Linked DNA regions of Caenorhabditis elegans. The protein of the gene in region 1 purifies or fractionates together with the protein of each later gene. This does not show direct contact. Each region holds a gene or a part of one and is shown in the gene's direction. Other genes may lie near its edges.

Region 1 (11,328 bases):
TATCAATTCTTCGATCCCCGTCCACGAATGCCAACCGATAGATCCCGCTACAGACCTTTTTAACGATGGAAGCACTTGTCTATTTTTATGTGTTTTCAAAGCTCTTTTTTGAACACTTTCCATTTATTTTTATACAATTTTTACTTTATAAAATTTTTTATAATTTTTTTGATCTTAAGAGCAAACTTTGGGAGCCAGACTTTGGACCAGAAGTAGTTGGTAATAGAGAAGATGAAAATTGATTTTTTTTTTGTTATGAAAAATTAATCAATTGGAGATTTGGTTGCGTTTGTTGCTCAGCTGTATCTTTGTGGATCTATGTGCTAACCACACCGGAACAGGCCCGCGAAATTATCGCGTGAACGTTCTTGCATCAAGGATTCTCATGTGGTGTCACATTGTCCCATTTCGTTGTGATCTACAAAATATGCGGGAATTCAGACGCAAACTTATCAGCTGATTTCGCATGATTAAAAACGTGCTGACGTCACATTTTTTTGGGGAAACAATTCCCGCATTTTCTGTAGATCAAACCGTTATGGAACAACCTGACACCACGTTGATTCTTCTGCTTGGGCCCAGACAGCGAGAGCTCCGAGAAAAAACTAGCTCATAATTCCGGCTGTGTTGAACGTTTTTTTTATTAGTCAACAAACTTATGTCATACTCTCTGTCTCTAGTTCAATCAATCAGTTTCAGTTGTATGTATATTGTTATCAGTTTTGAAATAGTCAGTTCCTATCAGCGCTAAATTCACTTTTTTGAAGTAAATACATCAAACCGTTGAAAATCAGTTTTTTTTCACTTACAGAATATTTTCTTTCTTAATTCTCAATCAACACAATAGTTTCCAATGTCTGCTGCTCTACGCGAAAATCACATCGAAAATGATGCCATGCACTACAATAAAAGGTAAAGTTATAATATATTTTTGTTTTAAAAAAGTTTAGAATCAGCTAGAGACAAGATTAAATTTAAAATTACATTTTCAGCGCCCATCCAAAGTCCTTGTCGGCCATGCCGCTCAACGTGGTCAGCGAGATCTTGGCCCATCTGAACAACATCGAATCGTAAGAATTTTCCGAAAATCTTAAAATGAACCATTTTCAGATTGGTTCTGATGAAAGTGTCTCGAAATTTTCGGCGCGCTGTTCAAAATTCAAAAGTTGAGATTAATAGACTTACTGTACAGCTTTGTACAGGAGGACAATCTTCAAGCATTGTTTATGGCCGCTACGTCATCACTTACAAGCAGAATAATGGCGGTTGTACAGTTTCTTATGTTGATAATAAAGTCGTTGGGGGCAACAAAAAAGAAGTTTTTGTGCCTGAAGAAAACTATCTAGAGCTTTGCAACAAGGATCTCAAGTTGATGATGGAAAATCGAAAGGTTGAATTTTACAGTTTCGGAGTTTCAATTTCTGGAATTGAAACAGAACTCAGCAAAAAGTTCATCGACGGCATTGAGGAGACTATGAAATCTGCAAAGAGTTTGACGTCTAGAACCGTTGCAACATATAACACTTCGTTGTCAGGACTCGCACAACTGGTGGGCATCTTCCCTGCTGAAAAGTTGGAAGTGATAGATTTCAAAGGAGAGGGGAGTGTCGGATTTGAACAGCTGATCAATTCGGATCAATGGAAAAAGGCTAAAAAGTTTGATGGACTTTGGAGTTTGAGTATTCCAATTGAGCACTTCTTGCATTTCGAGTTTTTCAAAGTAGATCTAGCGATATTCACAGAAGATGATGCTGTAAAAATTTGCGATGTGGGTTATCTTATGAAGATGTTTTAAATATCAATTACATTTATCAGATGATCGACACATCCACTCACTTTGGTCGCGCTCAGATCCGCTGTAACTCTATAAACATCAGCGGGATGAAGAGAATCTTCGGAGCCCATGATGAGGAGGACAACATCGTCTACCAAAACCTGAACAACATACCTTTCTATGTAGAATTTTTGCCTGATTTGCTCCGAGTTACAAAGTATGGCTATAGAATTGAAATTGACAACTAGTACAATTTTATATAATTCAAATATTCAATAAACATTATTTAGTTTTTTGGCAAGCAGAACAAAATATATCGAGGATTGTCTTTTGATTGTCGTTTTTCTAACAGAAGAATTAATAATAGTTACGACCCTATTCACACGAGCATTTTGAGGAACTTTTAGCAACCAAACCATGCGTCATTATAACTGACCCACTGATAGCAGTCTGTACACTACGTTGCGTCCGAGTACTTGCTAGTTGTTAATGGTATCAATAAATTCTGCATTCAAATACAGTTTCAACTGAGTCACTTGGTATCACCTTTTATTAATTATTATCAAAATCTTTATGCAATTTTGGGAAGTCGCTTAAAAAGTTTAGCATTCGTTCCATCGGAAATCTCATGGAAATGTGGTGAGAGTTGAAGCTTCTTAGCCTTCTCCACTGTATCAATACGGAGAATGCATACATCGAGAAGCTTCAGAAGTCGATACTTGTCTGCCATCCATAGCATCGCGTCGTTTCCAATTTTAGAATGGGTCAGCAGGTGGGTTTCGGCCAATCTCAACACAGCCGGAATTATAAAGCGATCGGCGAGCTCCAGAAGCTTCTCCACTGTTTTATCTGTAACACAAGTATCTATTTAATTTGTTACGGATTTGGAATTCCAATGCTCACCATTCACCGGAAGAACAGTTTCCGGATGAATTGTGCTCAGAACAAGACCAAACTCCTCAATAGTGACGTCTTTGAGTGGAATCTCATCCAATTCGCCATCTTTGAAATTTGATGAGAAAAGTGCAGAAAAGTAGTCGGAGTGGAAGGAGAGAAACTGAAAAATTGCCTGATTAATTGAAATAATTTGAAAAAAAAACTTACAGCTTTATTGACATGCAACTGCTGCTCTTCAACCAGCAAAATTGCATCATTTTTATCCGAGGGCTGAAACATTTTTTCAAGCAATGATTGCTCGAACGGATCGGGCTCAATTTTGACGTAAGTTGGCGTAAAGGAATATTCAAAATAAAAATAATTCGGCGTACTGGTGTCTCCCCAATCGACACGATACCCTTATGAAGTTAACAATACACTGTATTCCATCTGTCGGTTGCCGCGTTCGTCTTTTAGAAGAATTTTGCCAACTAGGTTGATGATTCCTTCTTTTCCAAGTTCTTCCCAATTGAAAACCCATCGTCTCTGATTTTTGTCGCTTGGAGAGTAATAGAAGGCGCTGAAATAATCGCGTTAAGAATTGCAAAAGTAGATACATTTTTAAATTTGCTATATCTTTTTCAAATTTTGGTTAGAACTTAGGTAGGTCTTGGTTTGACCATTTTTTGCAAGGTTAGCACTATAGCAATCAGAAGTTGGACAGAGAGCAGGCACTGCCAAAACACTCACCATCGTATCCCGGCAACATTGCTCGTATCTACTTCTTGTACATTACCGTTGTATGATTTACTTTTGTGTTGATAAACAATTTCAGCCATAGATTTACTTTTGTGTTGATAAACAATTTCAGCCATATCTATATGAAATGGAAGAAATGAAAAACCGTGGCTGCCATTGTTTCTTATCTAATCGGAATGCTTTTATTGTTGTTACCACGAGCAAGCACGCCTATTTGCGCATAACTTTACTGAAATAAAGGAGACGAGTTTCAAAACATTGACTTTTTACTGTAAATTGCCCATTTTTTGCCACTTTCAAATCGTTTTGATGGGTTAAACCTAGATTTTCTCAATTATGCATATACGAATTAACCGTTTTCAACAATACTGTCCTTTTTTTGCAAAATAACAATTTTTTGAAATTGTACAAAACCACTAATAACTGAAAAAAGGACATTTTTTTAGTGTTATGTGTAAATATGACTTTGTTTTTTACATGTCTTTTGATTTTTCACTCTCTTTAATTTTCTCTGTCTCTAGTCTCAATTACATTTTGAAATCATTCATTGTTATCAGTTTCGAATTATATCGAAACTTCGAAAAACGTTTTATCAGCGTCGAACTCCATTTCATTTAAGCAATTGCTCCTGAACCGGTGAACGTTCTTGGTAACTCCACTCTTAACTTTTTTGTTTCTGTTCGAAATCAATTCCTTTCTGAAAAATTCAAATTTCCAGGTAATAATTCCAAATGTCTGCTGCTCTCCGCCAAAGTGAGCTCACCATCCGAACATGTATTCTCTACGAAGTACTCGACAAAAAACCAATTAAACAGTCCTTTGACAATTTTCGTAGAAAAGTTGGAAATGACGTCATCTCATATTATGAGTTTGAATTTTGGTTCTATCGATTTAACAACGGAAATCATGACTTGCACTATGATCGAAGGTAATTTTTTTAAAATATTTTTTGTAAGAAAATTGATAAAATCTTTCTAAAAAAAAGTAAAACTTACTGAAATTGCAGGTTTATTTTGTCCAAAAATTTTTTTAGATCAATAATAGTACTTTTTCAGCGTCAATCCAGTTCCACGTTTGCTGTCAGGCATGCCTCTTAACGTGATCAACGAAGTTTTAAATCACCTGGACCTTATCGATTTGTGAGAATTTTATCAAAAAGCATTAAATTGTTAATTGTTAAAATTTCAGAATAGCTCTGATGAAAGTGTCTCGGAATTTTCGGCGCGCTGTTCAAAACATGAAAGTTTGTGTGATCGAAAGTCTTGTCGTACAGTTGTTCGAAGAAACAGATTGCACAAAAATCATTTACAACTTGCGCTATAAATTCGAATATCGCCAAAATGATGCAGGCTGTGAGGTTACCTTCTTTGCCAGAAACGGTGACATCTTCGAAAAACAAAAAGTTGTGGCTGGCGGGAACTACATAGAGCTATGCAACAAGGATCTCAAGTTGATGGTGGAAAGTGGAAAGGCTCAAATGGAATTATTTAGGCTTGACAATAAAGGAATTCAGAAAAAATCCCGCAAAAAGTTCATAGCCGGTATCGAAAAAGCTCTCAATTCGGCGAAAAACTTGTCGTCAAAAACTGTGCAAACCCAATTCGTTTCATATCCAGAACTTGCCCAACTGTTGCCCATTTTCCCTGCGGAAAAACTGAAAAAACTTATACTGAATGGATTGGACGGTCGAGAATATGAACAGCTGATTGATCTGGATCAATGGAAAAAGGCGAGAATATTTCAAGGATTTGAGGGGGAGTTAAATGTTCCGATTGAGCACTTCTTGCATTTCGAGTGGCTCGATGTTCATCTCGCAACATTCACAGATGAAGATGCAATGAAGCTTCGTGATGTGAGTTTTCAAAAAAAAAAAATTCAAAAATACAGTTCAATATCAAAAATGCCAAGTAATTTTCAGATGATCGACAGATCAGCTCACTTCGTTTATGCTGAAATTCAATACACACGTATGAACATCGATAGACTAAAGAGAGTCTTCGATGTGCACAGTGTGGAGCACAATCACATTTACGAAACTCCGGACAAAAGATCTTTCTATGTTGCATTTGGTCAATTTATGATCCAAATTACAAAACCCGGATATCAATTCGACTACAACTACAAGCTCTAAATTGAGACTTTTTGTCAAATGTTCAATTTGATTTTTAACAAAATAAAGTTTTGCCAATTTGTAACTCTTTCCTATTAGAATTCAAAACAATATTGTACTGCCAAAACTCCCAAGTAGAGGTTTCAACCGTGTTGAGCGTAACAGCTGACACCTATTTTGTTATCAGTTTCGAAATACTGAGTTCTTATCAGCTTCGAATTTTATTTCAATGAGGCAAACACGTTTTTTTTCAGTTTCAATCAACACATTTTTGTTCTGAATTGTTTTTTTTGTTTCCGCTTCTAGAAATTCCAACTTTCAGGTAAGAGCTAAAAATGTCGGCTGCTCTCGATCCCGTCCCATGTTCTTTGTCAGTCATGCCTCTGCACGTGATCAACGAAATTTTAGACCACATGGAAATTATCGATTTGTGAGAATTTCGCAATGACGCTTCAAACAATTTATTGAAACAATTTCAGAATGGTTCTTATGAAAGTGTCTCGAAACTTTCGAAGTGTTGTTCGAAATATGAAAGTTTTGATCAATTGGCTTACTTTGAATTATTCTGAAAAGTTACACTGTGTATCGATTGTCTATAACATGCGCTATCATATTAGGTATGAGCAAAAGGATGGAGGTTGTGTTGTTGTTTACTATTTTGGTAGTCCCAAACGCAAGGAAATACAGAAATTTGTGGCTGGTGAGGACTATGTAGAGCTATGCAACAAGGATCTCAAGTTGATGATTGAAAATCGAAAGGTTCAATTGGAAACATTCCTACCTGTTTTTGACGGAATTGAAAACGAAGCCCGTAAAAATTTCATTGACGGCATTGAGAAAACTCTCAAATCAGCGGAAAGCTTGTCATTAAAAACTATCCAATCACACCACGTTTCATTCCAAGAACTTGCCCAACTGTTGCCCATTTTCCCTGCGAAAAAATTGGAATATCTTTATTTATACGGGAGGATGGATGGCCCAGGATATGAGCAGCTGATTAACCTGGATCAATGGAAACAAGCTAGAAAATTTCATGGATTTTCTAAGAATTTGATTATTCCAATTGAACACTTTTTCATTTCGAGAGGTTTGATGTTCGTCTCGAAACTTTCACAGAAGGTGATGCAATGAAAATTCGTAATGTGAGTGTGCTAAAACATTGAAAAATCCGTGAAAATATTATCGACTAACTTTCAGCTGATTGATAGATCTTCTCACTTTGTTCATGCTGGGATTCACTTCAGAGATATGAACATCAGAAAGCTGAAAAGAGAATTTGCTGAGGAGCGAAATTTCGTTCACCAAACTCCTGACAAAAGATCTTTCAATGTGGAAATTTGTCGCGATGGGCTTATTATCAATAGAACGGGATAAATATTCGAGTGCACTTTAATTGAGACTTCATGCCTAATACTTCGTTATTTTGTACATCTACGTCCATTTTCCACAATAAAATATTAAAATTAAATAGTTTAAATAGTGGTTTTTGGTCACTATTTGTCAATAATCAATTTCATTCAACAAACTTCCCTGTCTCTTGTGAAATCAAATGTTTGTGCATTGTTATCAGTTTCGAAAAAGAGAATTCTTCTTATCAACAGAGAATTCAATTTTAATGTGGTAAACTCTTCAGAACCGTTAACCGTTCTTTTTCTGTTCAAAATAGTTATTCCAGTTTTAATTAACACATTTTTTTGCTTCTAAAAATTCAAATTTTCAGGTAATAATTCCAAATGTCTGTTGCTCTTTGCCAAAGTGAGCTCACTAACCGTACATGTATTCTCTACGAAGTTCTCGACAAAAAATCAATTAAAGAGTCTTTCGACAATTTTTGTAGGAAAGTTGGAAATGACGTCATGGGATTTGCTGATTTTGAATTCTGGTTCTATCGATTTAAGAACGGAAATCATGACTTGAACTACAATAGAATGTGATTTTTTGAATATTTTTGAGGGGAAATAATACACAAGTACCAAATTCGAATATCGGCAAAATGATATAGGATGTGAGGTTACCTACTTTGCCAAAAACGGCGAGGACTTCGAAAAACAAACATTTGTGCCTGGCGGGAACTACGTAAAGCTATGCAACAAGGATCTTAAGTTGATGGTGGAAAGTGGAAAGGCTCAGATGGAATCATTCCGGATTGACAATAATGGAATTCAGAAAAAATCCCGCACAAAGTTCATTGCCGGTGTTGGGAAATCTCTTAGATCGGCGAAGAACTTGACATCAAAAACTGTGCAAACCCAATTCGTTGCATATCCAGAACTTGCCCAACTGTTGCCCATTTTCCCTGCGGAAAGACTGAAAAAACTTATACTGAATGGATTGGACGGTCAAGAATACAAACAGCTAATTGATTTGGACCAATGGAAACAAGCTAGAATATTTCATGGATATGCTGAGAATTTAATTATTCCAATTGAAAAATTCTTTCACTTTGAGAGGTTTGATGTTCATCTCGCAAGATTCACAGAAGCAGATGCACTGAGGCTTCGTGCGGTGGGTTCTTTACATTAATATTTCTCAAAACTCTTTAGTTGCTTCCAGATGATCGATAGATCTGCTCACTTTGGTTTTGCTGGAATTTGCTGTAATTATATGAACAACAGTGCACTGAAAAGAATTTTCAATGTTGAGCACGAAAACTTTTATCAAACTCCAGACGAAAGAAGTTTCGATGTGCAATGTCGTCCTGGTGAGATCTCCATCACAAAATTTGGCTACACTGTCGAATAAAGAAACATCAAGATTTTTTTTTGAATATTATGTGTTATGCAAACTAATAAATGAACATATGAAGTATACATATGCTGCGTTATAATTAGCTGATTCTGTTCGATGCACCATGTATCAAACTGGTCTTGGCAGATCATATCTAGTCTACGACAACTTTGAGTGGTCGATGCACCATGTCTCAATGTGGTCTTGGCAGCTCATATCTAGTCTAAGACAACTTTAAGTTATTGACGCACCATGTCTCAAGTTGATCAAGTGGATCATCAATAGTCCGAGCATTAAAAAAGAAGGGGACACTGGAATATATTGATCCAGTTTCGCAGCTTATCGATCGGAAAATTTGCGGTTGCACAGCGTTCTGGGCTCTTGTAAATTTCTTGCAATAAGTCCAGCAAGCCAATATCATTATTACTTCTTAGTTTTTCTGTCTTTATTTCACCTACTTTGAAAAATGACGAAGGAATTTGTGATGACTCGAAAAGTGAAGAATATTGCCGCTATGAAGGAAGGAGATTCGCAATCTACAACAAGTGAACAACATTTTGGACTACCTTGGTAAGTTATTATTCTAACAATAATTTCAATTTTTAATGATCAAAATCATTTTCAGGTATTTCAAGGTCTTCTGCAAAGACAAACATTTGCAGTTATGCGTGTATTATGGAGCCCAGCTTATAGCCGAGGAGCAAAGTATCGAAGTTGAATGTGATTTCAAAATGATTACCCCTACTGGCAAGATATTTGTCGAAAAGACAGGAGTTCGAAAGTATGGAGGTGAGACGCAGTACATCGGAATTGGATTTCCAAAGTTTATGTTATGGGAGAAAATGATGAAGGAGTTTGTGGTAGAGGACACGGTGACGGTTGAAGTTTGTCTGAAGATCATAGACACTTGGGGATTTGAGAAGAAGGTGAAAGTCCGCAACTTCGACGAGGCTATGAAGGAGTTTTCGGATGTTGTGTTGGTGGTGAAGGAGACCAGGTTTCATGTGGCAAAACTGGTCAGTTAGCCTTTAAGATTAGCGTCACGACCTGAGCTTGAGCTTATGTTTACATAGGCCAAGGCTGTAGGCTCTGGGCTCTGGGCTCTGGCCTCTAGGCTCTGGGCTCGAAGATCTAGGTTCCGGGCTCTGGGATCTAGGTTCTAAGCTCTAGGCTCTAGGATCTAGGCTCTAGGCTCTACTATCTAGGAGCTAGGGTCTAGGCTCTAGGCTTCAGGATCTATTATCTAGGATCAAGTATCTAGGATCTAAGACCTAGGATCTAGGATCTAAAATCTAGGATCAAGTGTCTTGGATCTACGCTCTAGGCTTCAGGATCTATTATCTAGGATCGATTATCTAGGATCTAGGATCTAGGATCTGGGATCTAGGATCTGGGATCTAGGATCTGGGATCTAGGATCTAGGATCTAGGATCTAGGCTCTAGGATCTCGGATCTAGGATCTAGGATCCAGGATCTAGGATCTATACTCAAGGCTCTAGTCTCTAGGCTCCAGGATCTATTGTCTAGGCTAATTTCCTAATCATAACTATTTCAGTTCCTTGCTGCCCAGTCCGGATACTTCAAGGCTCTGCCAATTGGCAACTTCAAAGAAGGAAACAGCTCCGAAGTCACTCTCAGCTCAATCGACCCCAACGACTTCCAGAACTTTCTGGAAGTTCTCTACGGCCACCAGGAAGCTATCACAGGTTTGACATAGGACACTTATAGGAAAAAATAAAATTTTAAAATTTTCAGACGAGTCGGTGGAGGGTGTGCTTCTCATTGCAGACATGTACAATGCCAAGTTGGTCACCCAAAACTGCGAGAACTTTCTTTTCAGAGGAGCGGGATCTAAGATGATGTTGAAGAAACAGCTGCAGCTGGCCTATCGCTATAACTTGGAGAACTTGAAGAGATCTTGCTATTCCAATCTGGAAATTTGATCTATGATCTACATATGTACCTGTAAAATTCTGTGCAGTACAACCTCTAATAAAACATTTTTATTAATTTCCGTACAAATCTAGCAGCATTTCCGGCGACTTTTCCAATAATCACAATGTGCCTTTAGAGTCTTCAAATTATGATGCTTCGCCAGCTTCTCCTTCTGCTCCAGCGTTTTCTTGGAGTACTTTATTACATACTCTTCACACCGCTTCACAATTCCCGCGGCTTCATAGCTTTGCGCAATTTTCAGAATTCCATGGACAGTGTCGTCTGAAAATGTTCAATTTTGTTAAGAATCTGTAGAACCTTGAACGTTACCATTAATTGAGGGGTCTCCGTAGCAGGCTTCCAGGAAGTTCTGGAAGTGATCGGCACTCGAGTCGGGGAGCTTGATCTCGGTGCTCGGTGCTGCGGTGAAGTTGATCTTGCTGATTATGTTCTTGAATCTGGCGGAGTTGGAGATGAGGATCTGGAACTGAGAAACTTGAAGATCTTAGAGGGTCTAAGAGCTTGTATAGATCTGTGAGCTACGAGCTTGGCTACAGGCACCTATGGATGCTCAGGCTCTTTGCTGAGTCGTGTTGAGACCCAGAACTACGTATTCGGTATAGAATGTTAACCTCCAGCTACGGTGCCTATCAAAGATAAAGGATCTTCGGTTAGTGATCGCAGGGTCCTAGGTAGAAATCAAGAAAAATTGAAGTTCTGAGGATCCGTATAGAACTGGGAGCTAGGATTAACTCAGGTAAACCTCAGGTAACATAGTTCCTAAGAACATCTCCAGATGTTCAGTTCAACCCCTTAGGATCCCTACCTCCTTCAACACAAAAAACCTCTGCCCGGCAACAATCAGCATCACATCCCACGAATTCCCGGTTGCATCGAAATTCCTCAGCTTCTTGAACTTTGGAGCATCCAAGCAAGTGACCCTGGTGATATTGACGTGAGCCTCGACGGTCAACCTTCCATCGACCATGTAGTCATAGACAATGGTCGACCACTCAACATCCTGACCAAGCTCCTGACTGGAGTTCTTTGTTTTTTCAATGTTAAAGCATCCATTTGTCTTGGACTTCAGAGGTCGTCCTCCATTTTTGCCCGCAATGATCAATTCGAAGTCAGCGAGGATTCGGAA
Region 2 (11,624 bases), on another chromosome or scaffold:
TACATGACACTTATAAATGATAAATATAACTTTCAGGTTCTCCGTTGGCTTGAAGACCAAGGATTCATCAACGGATTTATCAGAGCATTCAACCTTCTCCAACCAGCTGGATACTCAACCTGTCAATACGCAGACTCGACTTTTGAAGTTTTCGGAAAGTAAATCCAACCACAGTCAACGAGTACATTGGGCCCTCAGTCGCACCCACCAAATTAATTTTTACTGAAAAATCTCTTAAATGACCTCTTTCTCCTTCTCACTTTTATTGCCTATTTTTTCGCCAAACATTCCCGCATCAGTTTGCAATTACTTGTTGTTGTACAGTTCTTAATAATTGCATTATAAATTTAATAACTCTTTAATAATATAAGAACCCGCATAATAAAAATTCGTAATAAACATTTCTTTCCATATATTATACTGCAATTCACAAATCCATTTACAACGCATTGAACCCCACTTAAAAAGGGTGAAGGTTACAAGTACACCGTGCCCTAATTACTCACGTAATGTAGGTAAATTGTGGTTTACTGCTTGATGAGACAGTTTCACATGAAACATGGAACACACAGGCACCGAAAATGAAGAGAAGAGGGGGAGCTTGAAGATTAATGGGCGGGGTTCAGGTTATGAAGGTCGAGGAAGAGAAAGGAGAAGGCGTCCATCGCAACAGCCAGCAACTGCAGCAGTCACTTCTGTTCACTACATATACGGTCAATATTCTAGTAGTGACCGGTGTCTTTCTAAAAATAATGTGGTCTCGAAATGTTGCACTGGTCTTCTGTCTCCTTGGTGGAGTTACCGCTATTGGAGAAAATGCGGTAAGTATCCCTTAAAACAACAAACTAGTCGAATTTTTCGGATTCAAATTCAATTTAATTAAATAAGATACAGAACATTGGAAATTATCTTTCTTTTGTTAAATGACATTTGTAATTTATGATATTTAGTAACTTACGTCAAGTTTTGAATATGTGTCAGCATAATATTAAAAATTGTAATTCAGATGGATTTCCAAGCCATTACTGGTATTCTTGGAGGAATTGGAAAAATGCTCGAAAGCAAAATTGACACCATCAATGTCCCTGCGGAGATGGTTATGGGAAAATGGTTCCAGATGTACAAGGCTGCTATGAACTTTGATGTTGTCCGCACCACAATGTTCTGCCCAGTTGCTTATTGTAAGTTTATCTTTCTAAAGTCTCAAAAACATGTTTTTGAACCTGTTCGAATCATAAACTAAGCTCAAATAACAAGTAACTTGCAGTCTCTCCTAATCCGATAATGGGTGAAGAAGGATTCTCGATGCAAGAAGCTTACAGAGTGGTTTCAAAAACTGGACCAATTGAGACTTACAAAAGAGACATGAACAAAGTTGGACCAGGACAATACTGGATGTACACTGAAGAGTACTTCTACCCAAGACAATGTGAGCGAAAAACATTTAATTTTGACTAAACTTGCTTTTCAGTTTACATTATCGGAGCTGGACCATCTTTCAATAATGGCACCAGAAATTCTACCGAGCCACTCCAATACTTGATTGCTTCTGATGCTAACCGACTTTCCCTCATGGTTTATGCTAGAGATCCTCTTGTATTTTTCCAGGTCAGTTGCGAAACATCAAGCGTTGCGGCGCGTGTTTTTTGTTTTTACTCTCCTGTAGGGCGCACTAGTGAGATTGATGAACACAGTGATTGACAGGAGGCGAGAATTGGGTTAGCTTATCAACATCGGTTGACCTTATTTTGAATTATTTCTCCGATTACAATCCGTGTCTATTGGATTATGGAATTTGGGATTCAGAAATCGGGAAAGAAAAAAAGCGAAAGTGACAATTGTCTGACATATTTGCAAACATAACATCATTTACAGAAGTACAACAAGGAGGTTGTTGAGTTCATGAATGGACACGGATTTGGAGGAAATGTCTTCTGGAACAGCCCAAAGCCAATTTACCAAGGACCAGACTGCGAATGGCCTTCTGAAAAGGAGGTCTTTGCCAGAAGGTAATGTAATTTACTCATGTAACAGACAGAAAATATAGTTTATTTTCAGAGTTTTGAAAAACCAAGAAATGAACGAGCGCAACAAGAATGGAACTTCAGACCCAATTCTTTCCGGAATGCCACTTGCCGACATGATCCGCGACCCAAAGCGTACTTTGGAAAGACTAGTTGGAACAAAAGCTTTGCAACAAGCCACCGCCGGAATCACAGCCGGTCCACCAGCCAGCCGTAGCGAGTGACCTCATTCTACCATTTTTCGCCATTTTTCCAGTACTTCTACCATTTTCTCTTAATAATCTCTTTCCAATTTCTTCACGCACTAATTATCAATCTGTGATCCTTTAATTATTGTCTACATGTATTAATAATAATATTAATAATGCAATTAATAAGACACGGTTCCGTGTTCCTTCCGTTGTATCTCATTGTCTTTTGAAAAAAGAAAAGTTAATTCAATAAATTTGTAAGTTCATTTTGAATCAGTGTTTTACAGTAGACTTACAGTAGTTTTGCAGTCGCTTACAGTACAATAGTATTGATATTGAAGGTTGTACAACGTTTACTTTCAGTTTATCCTCCTTTCCGTTTTACCGATTTTCGGCGTCATCCATTTGACAGTTTCACTCCCGAACTTCAAACTTCCGATAATAAGATTTTCGGGCCTGTGTACCGTATCAAAAGCAATTCGAAAATGTATGACTGTCTTTAGAGAAACATACACTTGCTGCAACTAGCAAGCGAAACGAGGACACGATTTGAGATTTGAGAAGATAAACTCGAAGAGGCGAGAGAAGAAAGAGAACACAGAGAGGAAAGAAATCGGCGAAGGAGGTTGGACAAAAGAGAAGCGAAAACACTGGACGGATGACCCCGGTTCATTCGACACACCTTCTACAACATCCACACTTTTATTCATTTCATCCATCGAGAATGCTCTCGATAGGCATCCTCTCTATTTGTCTTGTTGGCCTTGCCGGCGCCCAACTTGACGCTTTTGCTCTTCCATCAGCACAACGTTATGCTCCTAAACCAACAGTGCCACCAGAGTTTTCCAATTACTTTGAACTTGATGGGCATGCTCGCGAATTGGTGGACTCTCTGCTAGGACCCCGCCCAGGAGGCCTTTTCCCGGAAAAGACGTTCGAGATTGGAGCCCCACAAGGTCCAGTTCAAAATGGAAATCAGCCAACACACGTTGTTTCAAGCCTAGAGAAGACACTTGAGTCATTCTTCACTGCTCCAGAGCTTCCCGCTGGCCAAGCACTTCCACCAGGATTTGGGTCTGGGTTTTCCGTTGCAAACAACAATAAGGCATTGACTTCTTTCGGAGACATTCGTCGTTCGCCATCAGGCAAAAAGGAAAACCAGGAGGTAGAAGGATCCGGTGCTGTCGAAAACTCAATTGCAGGAATTCCAAATGTACGTAAATCATCTTTCTGTCAGTCCGTTTTAAAATTTGTATTTTAGGTATTCTTGAAGTTGGCAAAACAACCAACTGCTCTAGTTGACGCATTCAACAAGGCAGTTTCGGTTCCAAGAGACTCCAGCGGAAACCCAGTGTTTGAGACAGCACCAGTTGTCCCAGAAGGTGGATTCCTTCCAACTTCAGAAGTTCGTCGCTCTCCATCTTCAGTATCTGAAGTCTCGCACTCAATTGATTCTAAATCAGATGAACTTAATACAGAAGAGGTAAATTTTTTTCGCAGCGTTCTCGAACATTTATTTTTATCTTTTAGTATGGAGGTCTTTCCGAAGACTCAAACTCGTCTGGAGGTGGATTGATTGGAACTATTTTCAATCTTATCAAGCTCGGAGGAAAGAAAGCTAAGGAGAACGCCAAAAATGGGAACGGAACCGCTCCAGTAAGATTTCATATTCTTTTTAACCATCTTAATCGAGTTAATTTAGGAAAAGAACACTATCGGAAAGGCTGTATCCAACCTCCTTTCGGGAGAAAACAGTCCATTCCCAAAACCTGGTAGCAACATTCTGACTGATATGCTTTTCAAGACTCTTTCCAGTGGTTCACTCGAGTCCAATGGAACTGAAATTGAGAAGAGTGAAAATGGCTCAATTGTCCTTACCCCAGCTCAATCTGCCGCCATCAGCAGCAATCTTGAAATGATTCAAGATCTTATCATCAAGCCAAACTCTCCACTATGCACACAAAAACCAATCCCGGTTGAATTTGAACTCGATCCTCTTATGGGACAATGGTACCAAGTTATCTACTCTCCACCAGTATCTACTGGCCCTTGCAGCATGGTTTCTTACAAAAAACTTAGTGATAATGGAGAAGGTAACGTGCATTAATAGATTTTAATCAGTTTTAACTAGTTGTTTTTCAGCCACCGGATCAATCGTAGATGTCTATGAGTACACAACTGATGGAACTCCATATGGAAAGCCAATAATCTCTTCTGGATATGCCTTGGTGAAAGGAAAGGGAGAACTCATCTTCAGAACAAATTCCAACAAAGAAGATGTGACTGTGCACATTCTTAGCGTTGGACCATTGAATCATCAGGGAGAATATGAATATGTTGTCATGTCCACCAACTGCAACTATCCAGTCTATGTATTTGCAAGAGATACTAGCATTTTCAAGCAGGTATGAAAATTAATTAACAGTGATTATGTTGTGATAATTCAACTGATATTATTTTAGAAATACGAACCAGTTGTCAATGAGTTCCTGGACAAGAGCGGAATTGTGAATGGAATCTCTCGCCTGCTTAATGTTGTTGCTCCAGTCGACAACACTATGTGCATCTTCCCACCACATCTTTTCTACAACCAAGGAAGATAGTTTACTCGCCACCATCTTAATAATTTCTAATAACTCCTAATAATTTTTAATATGGTTTTTTTCCATCCATCATCCCGTTCTCATTGCCCTTTCTTCTCTTTCAACCCTCGGGTGATTACCTCATCTTTTTAAGTCTTAGTTTACAATCCAAAGCATTTTTCTTTAATTTTCATTTAGAAACTACACAAAAAATCAGGCCGTGGGCTCGTGCATTCCTTGTTGTATATAGAATTTCGAATAATTTATTCCTTTTTATAATTTCGGTTATATTTTTTCTACGTCTTTCACACTTGTCCTAATAATGTTGATAATATGCAGTTAATAAATTTTTTAAACTATCTATTTTTAACATTTCTTTAGTAATGAAGAAAGAAGTACAATTATTAAACGGATGCGCAATTCTTAACAAAAATGGCATCGTCGAAAAATCAGAGTTGATGTTTCTATAATTGATCATAAAGGATTAAATACAATTAATGAATATTCTCAATTTCTCGGCCCAGATCATTCTTACAACCATGTTATAAAATTATTCAGAAAAGTCATTTTTTAGAACTTAAAACTTTGGTTTACGAAAAATGCCGATTTTGACTTATTGAGAAAGGGGTTTCTTCTTATTTTCTTGTATCAATTTACTCATTTTTCAATTAGGTCAGGTCAAACTCTGGAACAGTGTTTGCCTGTCACATTTATCTTCATCATTCCTATTTCTGAGAGTATCTCTCTATCTCTATCAGAGTAATTCAATCCAGAGGATTAGAAAGGGGTACGGGGAAAAGCGAATATCGGTCAAGTGAAAGTGGTGACTGTCGCAATGATTCGCGGATACAGTCCAGTGAATCTTGCATGAAGAGACGCAAAAGAAGAAGCGAAAATTGGCACGTAACGAGAGTGAAAGCCTATCGACGCTGGACATTTTGAGGTCAACATATATCTCACCCGGACGATACAGCCCATTGAGAAAGCCCACACTTGGAAGTTCTAACGATGCAACGGCTGACGGCGGTTGTTTTCGCCTGCGTAATTGGAGGAGTTTTCCTCGCTGCACCAGATGCACCAACATTCGATAGCCTGCCCGCTGGAATCGACCCAACTGCAAAGGTAAACATTTTGTATTTTTTTCAGTTATTTGAGAGTGCTCAATTTCAGATTGGACCACCAGGAACTGACGACAAAGCTCTTGTGAAAGTTGGAGAGGTGGCTGAATCAATTTTGGATAAACTTGGATTCAGTACCAGAGATGAAAAGGATATTCGTCGTGCCCCAGTGCCAAGTTCTTTCTTTGGAGTGAGTATCTATGTAAATCTGCTGAATGAAATATTCTTCTCGTTTCTGAAATTAAAAAAAAATCTGACGTTTAGAGTGACGATGTCAACCAAGTTATTGAAGAGGCTAATGCTAATCGTGTTGACCTTCAAGGAATCACCTCTGGACAAATCCCAGGACTTGCTCCAATCCCAGTACCAGGATTCCCAGGACCACAGGACGCACCAGTTATTCCAGGAGTCAACACTATTCCAGGACTTAGCAATTTTAACTACCTTGTCGGACAACTTTTCCCACAAATGATTCCACCAGCAAACACTCTTCTAGGATCTTCAATCAGCAGAATTCTTCCAAAGGATACTGCAAAAAATATCGCAAAGGATGTGTTCAGAGCTGTTCACCCAACTGCTGAAAATGTAGATACCGCTAGAATGATGGGAAGATGGTTCCAAGTTATCAACTCTCCACATGTCATCCGTGAGGCCTGCACCGTGTCACACTGTAAGTAGCAGATTATATATGTCTTAACTAAAACACTTTTTTTAAACCATCTTGCCAATGTTCAATTTTCAGTCGGAGCCCTTACGAACAACACATACTCTGCTTCCTTCACCATCCTCAAGTTCTACAGAGAAGGAAATCCAAATGGATCCCCAAGATATGCTCTCGGATACGGATTCAAATCTGGAGAAACTGGACAATTCGTTCTTCACAACTCCAATTCTGCTGATGCCGAGCCTTGTAAGTTATAAACTAACTACATAATTGATAGTTGTGAAATATGCTCAGTCTGGGTTATCAAGATGGGACCACTCAATGAGTACAAGCAATACGACTACGCCATCGTTTCTACCTGGGTCAGATATCCAGTCTTTGTCATTGCTCGTGACCCAGAACGCTTCAGAAAGCTGCACATGAAGAATGTCCTCGAATTCTTGCAACAGAACAGTGAGTTAACATGGTAGAGCTTTTTTATTTAATAATTTTAATATTTAGACTACATCAACGTCATGACCAAGGCCTTCAACATGATCTCTCCAGTTGACTATGAAGCCTGTCAGTACACTCCAACTTTCTCTGGAACCGGAAAGTAATTGCTTGCAAGCGCCGTACGACTGTCATCTCGCTGTCGGGTATCCTCCATCAATTAATTGTTTCTCCCCAAACATTCCATTCTGTGTGTAGACAGATTTTGTAATAATAATAATTATAATAATGAAACTAATAACAACAAGAAGTTAGTTATAATAACTTGTAATTTTTCCCTTTCCTTGTGCCTCATTAATAACGGATTCTATGAAATCCTGATCCTCAGTTTGACAATAATAAACTATTTGATATTAAACCGTTGATCCTCAGCAAGTGTATATATTTTAAAATTAAATAAACAGCTTCTTTTTAGTTACATAGAAACTGTAAACTAAACACTCCGAAGGCAGTTTAAAAAAGGTAAATGAAGTTTACAAAAATGCCAACATAGTAGTGGAGCGGGGCCATCGGAAACCGATTAATATTTCAGATGTGAAATAGCTAGACAATTATTCAGAATGATCTACCGTTTTGAGTAACATAATCTGTTAAAATTTAAACAAGTCAACAATTGCTCATTATTTTTCTAATTTCATCATTCCTACAAACTAAAATTATTTACAGAAACTGCTCCCTACTCTGGAAGTTTGAACCTTAAATAATAAAACTTCAGGGATTTGAATTTGTGTTCCGCAATTAACTGTTTAAGCTTTTGGATTACAAATGTCTTGGTTTTATACCTGAGGTTTGAACAAACAGTTTTCAAGATTCACAACATCCATTTAAACTTTATCACCGACTCACAGAAGATGCTTCCTACGTGCCAGTTATTTTGAGAGATAAAGAGGAAAGCCTCTTTGGAAAAGTGCAAGCAACATTTTTCAAATATCCAGGTCATCTTTCCCAAATCTTGTCGACCAAAGGCGACTGTGTTGCGCATTGCGCTTCTCAGTGGATTATGTCAGATTCGATATCAAAAGTTTTTCTTGGACAATTCTCTCATTTCGCTTTCGTAACAAAATTGGGTCATGGTCGGTTGTGTTTTATCTCGAATTTCCCGGATAGCTGATTGTAGAAATCGGATAAAAAGAATGAATTAAAACAGGGAAGTTAATTTGAAAAATTCGAGGAGAAAGGCAGCCGGAAAATTTTATTTTGCGTGTCAGTTGAGAGAAAAGTGTTTATTATAAGCGTGTTTAGTTCAGGACCTGATACTTACAAACATGGTAAAAAACGAAACTGGGCAAATTAGGAAAAATCGAGTATTTTGCCATTGAAAACGACAAAAAATGTTCAACAGTGCCTGAATAAACCATGAAAGTATTGCCCAAGATAATTTTAAGCAGGTATTTAATATTAGTAGTATTTAATATTAGTAGGTAATCAGGTAACAAGTATAGGCAGGTATGCTTAAGGTTCATTTTTATTTTGCTGAAGATATTTTGCTTTAGCTACTTTCAGACATTTCCCCGTATATTTGCAATATGTAGAAGACTGTAGTCGGAGAAATGTATCAAATAAGTATCTTCAAGTAAAAACGTTCTAGAGAATTGCCTGCAAATTTGAATGTTTAAAAATTGACAATTTTTTCCACAGAAAATATATAAACAATTGCATAACTTTTTTAAACTTTTTAATTATAAAATTTAAATCAACTCTACAAATTTCCTCTCAATACTCATTGATTTTCTATTTTAAAGGTTTATGTTCATGTTCAACAATTATATTCACGCGTTTAAATTTTATTCCTAGATTGCTCAATTCATTATTCATTGTCCTTCTGTTCAGGCGCATGTTTTCCGAAAGATCAGCATTTGGGCACGCTCCAGGACAAGCATCAAAATGACAAAATTGAGTTTTAGCTCTCTGAATGTATGTCTCAAATCCGAATCACAGAACTATTCTTGGTCACGTTTAGTGCACATTGTGTTGCATCTCACTGGTCAGAATAAGGGGTACTCATTGCACAAGCTCAAGAAGACGACGAGAAGCAAGATGATGAGTTGCGGCAGACGACAAGACACATAGATCGATAGGCGCCGGTGATGGAAGTGGAGAGCAATGGAGCACGCCTCTCGCCCCCGGGCTTCATTTGAAACCTCTTCTTCTTTTTTTCCCTTCTTTTGCTACTTGGGGCCTTTTAGAGAAAAAAAAGGAGTTGAAGAAGAAGGAAAAGTCGCCGTTTTGCTGTTGTGCTTGCTTGTTTTTCCTATTTCTCCTCCTTTTTCGTTTTCTTCCAAGTGGTGTGCACCAGTTGAACGCTAGCTGCAATGGAGGAAGAACCAGTGCGTCCCATTGACTACTGGGTTTGTAAGTGACACTTAAGTTGGGAATGTGCAGAGAAATTGCAATGATTTTAGGTCGCGCAACAGATAGATTCATCGGTGACGAGGAAAGAATTAAAGCATTGGACTTCATAATTGAAAGCATTTATAAACAAGTAAGTTTGAAATTTGTGAGAATCAAGGAAAACAATACAACTGGACAAAGATATTTTGAGAAACAATACTTTGAAAATGCATGTCCTTTGTTTTCGTTTATTTTCAATTTGATTAGATGTAATTTGCCTTTATTTTTTAGTTAAACATATAACTCAATTTCATCAGTTTGCTTCCGTTTATTGATACTTGGGTAGTGCTCAAAATAATTAAATTCAAATTAATGAATTGAAATCAAAACGTAAGTTCTTTTCTAATTTCTAGCATTAGAAGTAATTTCTGAACCTAAAGATTGAAAAAAATTGAAATTTTATTAAAATTAATATTCCCGTGTTTAAATATCACAAAGATCTACAACGTACAAGTTTTCAGCCTGCAAGTGCACTGCTCGCAGTGGATCTTTTTTCACACAAGCTTTCAAGTCCTTCACAAGAAGAAGCGATGCTTACAATCAGAGTGAGGATTCGTTTACTTCAAAATCATGTTCAAAGATTTTCTATTCAAAAAACCATATTAGACAATTATTTTTTAGTTTAAAATAATGTTTTTCAGGCTCTTGATTATTTAGTACGCAATGGAGGCGAAAAGGTTCATGAGCGCTGTGGTCGTTACAAATTCCTAAATGAGCTTGTCCGATTGATAGCTCCCAAATACAATGGGAAATTGACAAGCGACGCACTGAAAACGGAAATCATAAAGCTGCTGTTCATCTGGCAATTGTCAATCAAGCACATTCCAAAATACAAGCAAGTGTACGAGTCATTAAAATTGAGCAAGATAATCACTGACGATCCGCATGTTAGAGAAACTGAAGTTCCTGTTTTCGCAGGTGATTTTCTCTTCACTTTATAATAATAATAAGTAATATTCACGTCTATTTTCAGTTCCACCTGTCAGGTCATCGGTGTTTGACAATGAAGAGCAAGCCGTTCTTTTGAAAGCTTTATTATCAAGTAATCGCCCAGAAGACTTGGAAACTGCCAATAATCTAATCAAAACTCTTGTAGAAACTGTAAGTTTTTTTTTCAAAAAGTCAATGTTTCAGTCATTGAACATTGAATTATAGTCAAGTAGTCGAAACATCAACTTTGAAATCAACTCTAATCAAATTTTCACGCCTGACGTTAGTGCATGTAAATTCACATTAGACGTAATCCACCCACGAGTACATTGCAGGAAGAGCACAAGCTTGTCAAGATTCATGAACGCCGGAAAAAGTTAGATCATGCTATCAACCTGTGCAATCAAGTTGAACATCTACGGCTCGACAAGGCGGCGGAAACAATCGGACTCGGAAATTATTCGCCAGATAATGAACTTACCCTTCAGGTTTTGATTAGTATAAACACTTTTAATTATTAAAAATTTCGGTTCAGAGGGTAACGAATGAACTGATTCAACTTCAAGAATTGTTTTATGGATATGTCAATGAACTAGCAGAAAACAATGATCCTTGCCTAGAAGAAGTTTTAAATATTAACGACCAAATCAATAGAGTTCTGCCCGAAAATGAAACTCCGAAATGTGGAAATAGAGCCCCAATTTCGGCAAGAACTCAGTGTAAGTCCAATTCGATTATTTTCAATTGGTGGGCTGTTTCTTTGACTTCTTCATTATTAGTTTGTGTTAGCATTTAGTTTCTATAATAAATTAATAAAAACCACTGAACAAAAAAATATTCTTATTTTAATTGTTTATTCATTAAATTGAACTGCAACTAAAAAGATCGCATCATTTCAATTCTATTAATAATGATTATTTAAGTGGATCCAGAGAACCAAGAATTGCTTGTTTTCAACACACCAACAAGCGAAGTGCCTCCTAAGAACGGATTTTGTGACCCCCGTGATTTGGTTAGTAGTTTTAATACTCAAACTTTCCGAAAACCAATGATAATTCAGGAAGGAAGTTTGCTAAACAATATGATAGAGTCGGAGTTCGTCGAAGAACCAAAGGTTGGTTGGAATTATTTTTTCAAAGTTTACGGACAAAAAAATTTTCTAGATCGTTCCCGTTCAACAAATGACGCCCGTTTTGAACCGGAACAGCTCAGCAAGTCCTCGTGCTAGTGGA

Evidence for each region.
Region 2: the proteins of fbxa-163 (region 1) and lpr-4 fractionate together in Caenorhabditis elegans (co-fractionation; one large-scale study listed by BioGRID). This does not show direct contact.

What each region holds. Positions count from the first base shown.
Region 1 is NC_003280.10:1,603,528-1,614,855, reverse strand, and holds fbxa-163 (F-box domain-containing protein), read left to right. Parts: upstream 1-4,125; 5' UTR 4,126-4,140; coding exon 4,141-4,337; intron 4,338-4,464; coding exon 4,465-4,548; intron 4,549-4,597; coding exon 4,598-5,261; intron 5,262-5,327; coding exon 5,328-5,540; 3' UTR 5,541-5,604; downstream 5,605-11,328. Other genes in the region: fbxa-165 (F-box domain-containing protein), read left to right, coding at 1-63; fbxa-164 (F-box domain-containing protein), read left to right, coding at 854-912, 993-1,070, 1,111-1,768, 1,816-2,022; bath-33 (BTB domain-containing protein), read left to right, coding at 8,713-8,816, 8,872-9,262, 9,802-9,952, 10,002-10,189; bath-47 (BTB and MATH domain-containing protein 47), read right to left, coding at 10,270-10,463, 10,512-10,662, 11,008-11,328.
Region 2 is NC_003284.9:11,059,383-11,071,006, forward strand, and holds lpr-4 (Lipocalin domain-containing protein), read left to right. Parts: upstream 1-5,743; 5' UTR 5,744-5,805; coding exon 5,806-5,919; intron 5,920-5,967; coding exon 5,968-6,105; intron 6,106-6,179; coding exon 6,180-6,585; intron 6,586-6,657; coding exon 6,658-6,825; intron 6,826-6,873; coding exon 6,874-7,032; intron 7,033-7,080; coding exon 7,081-7,178; 3' UTR 7,179-7,429; downstream 7,430-11,624. Other genes in the region: lpr-3 (Lipocalin domain-containing protein), read left to right, coding at 37-162; lpr-6 (LiPocalin-Related protein), read left to right, coding at 612-821, 1,007-1,181, 1,268-1,429, 1,472-1,608, 1,876-2,009, 2,059-2,248; lpr-5 (Lipocalin domain-containing protein), read left to right, coding at 2,940-3,428, 3,477-3,698, 3,746-3,871, 3,918-4,308, 4,358-4,620, 4,678-4,818; apt-9 (ADP-ribosylation factor-binding protein GGA1), read left to right, coding at 9,384-9,423, 9,474-9,553, 9,924-10,007, 10,104-10,380, 10,436-10,563, 10,728-10,880, 10,928-11,111, 11,316-11,404 and 2 more.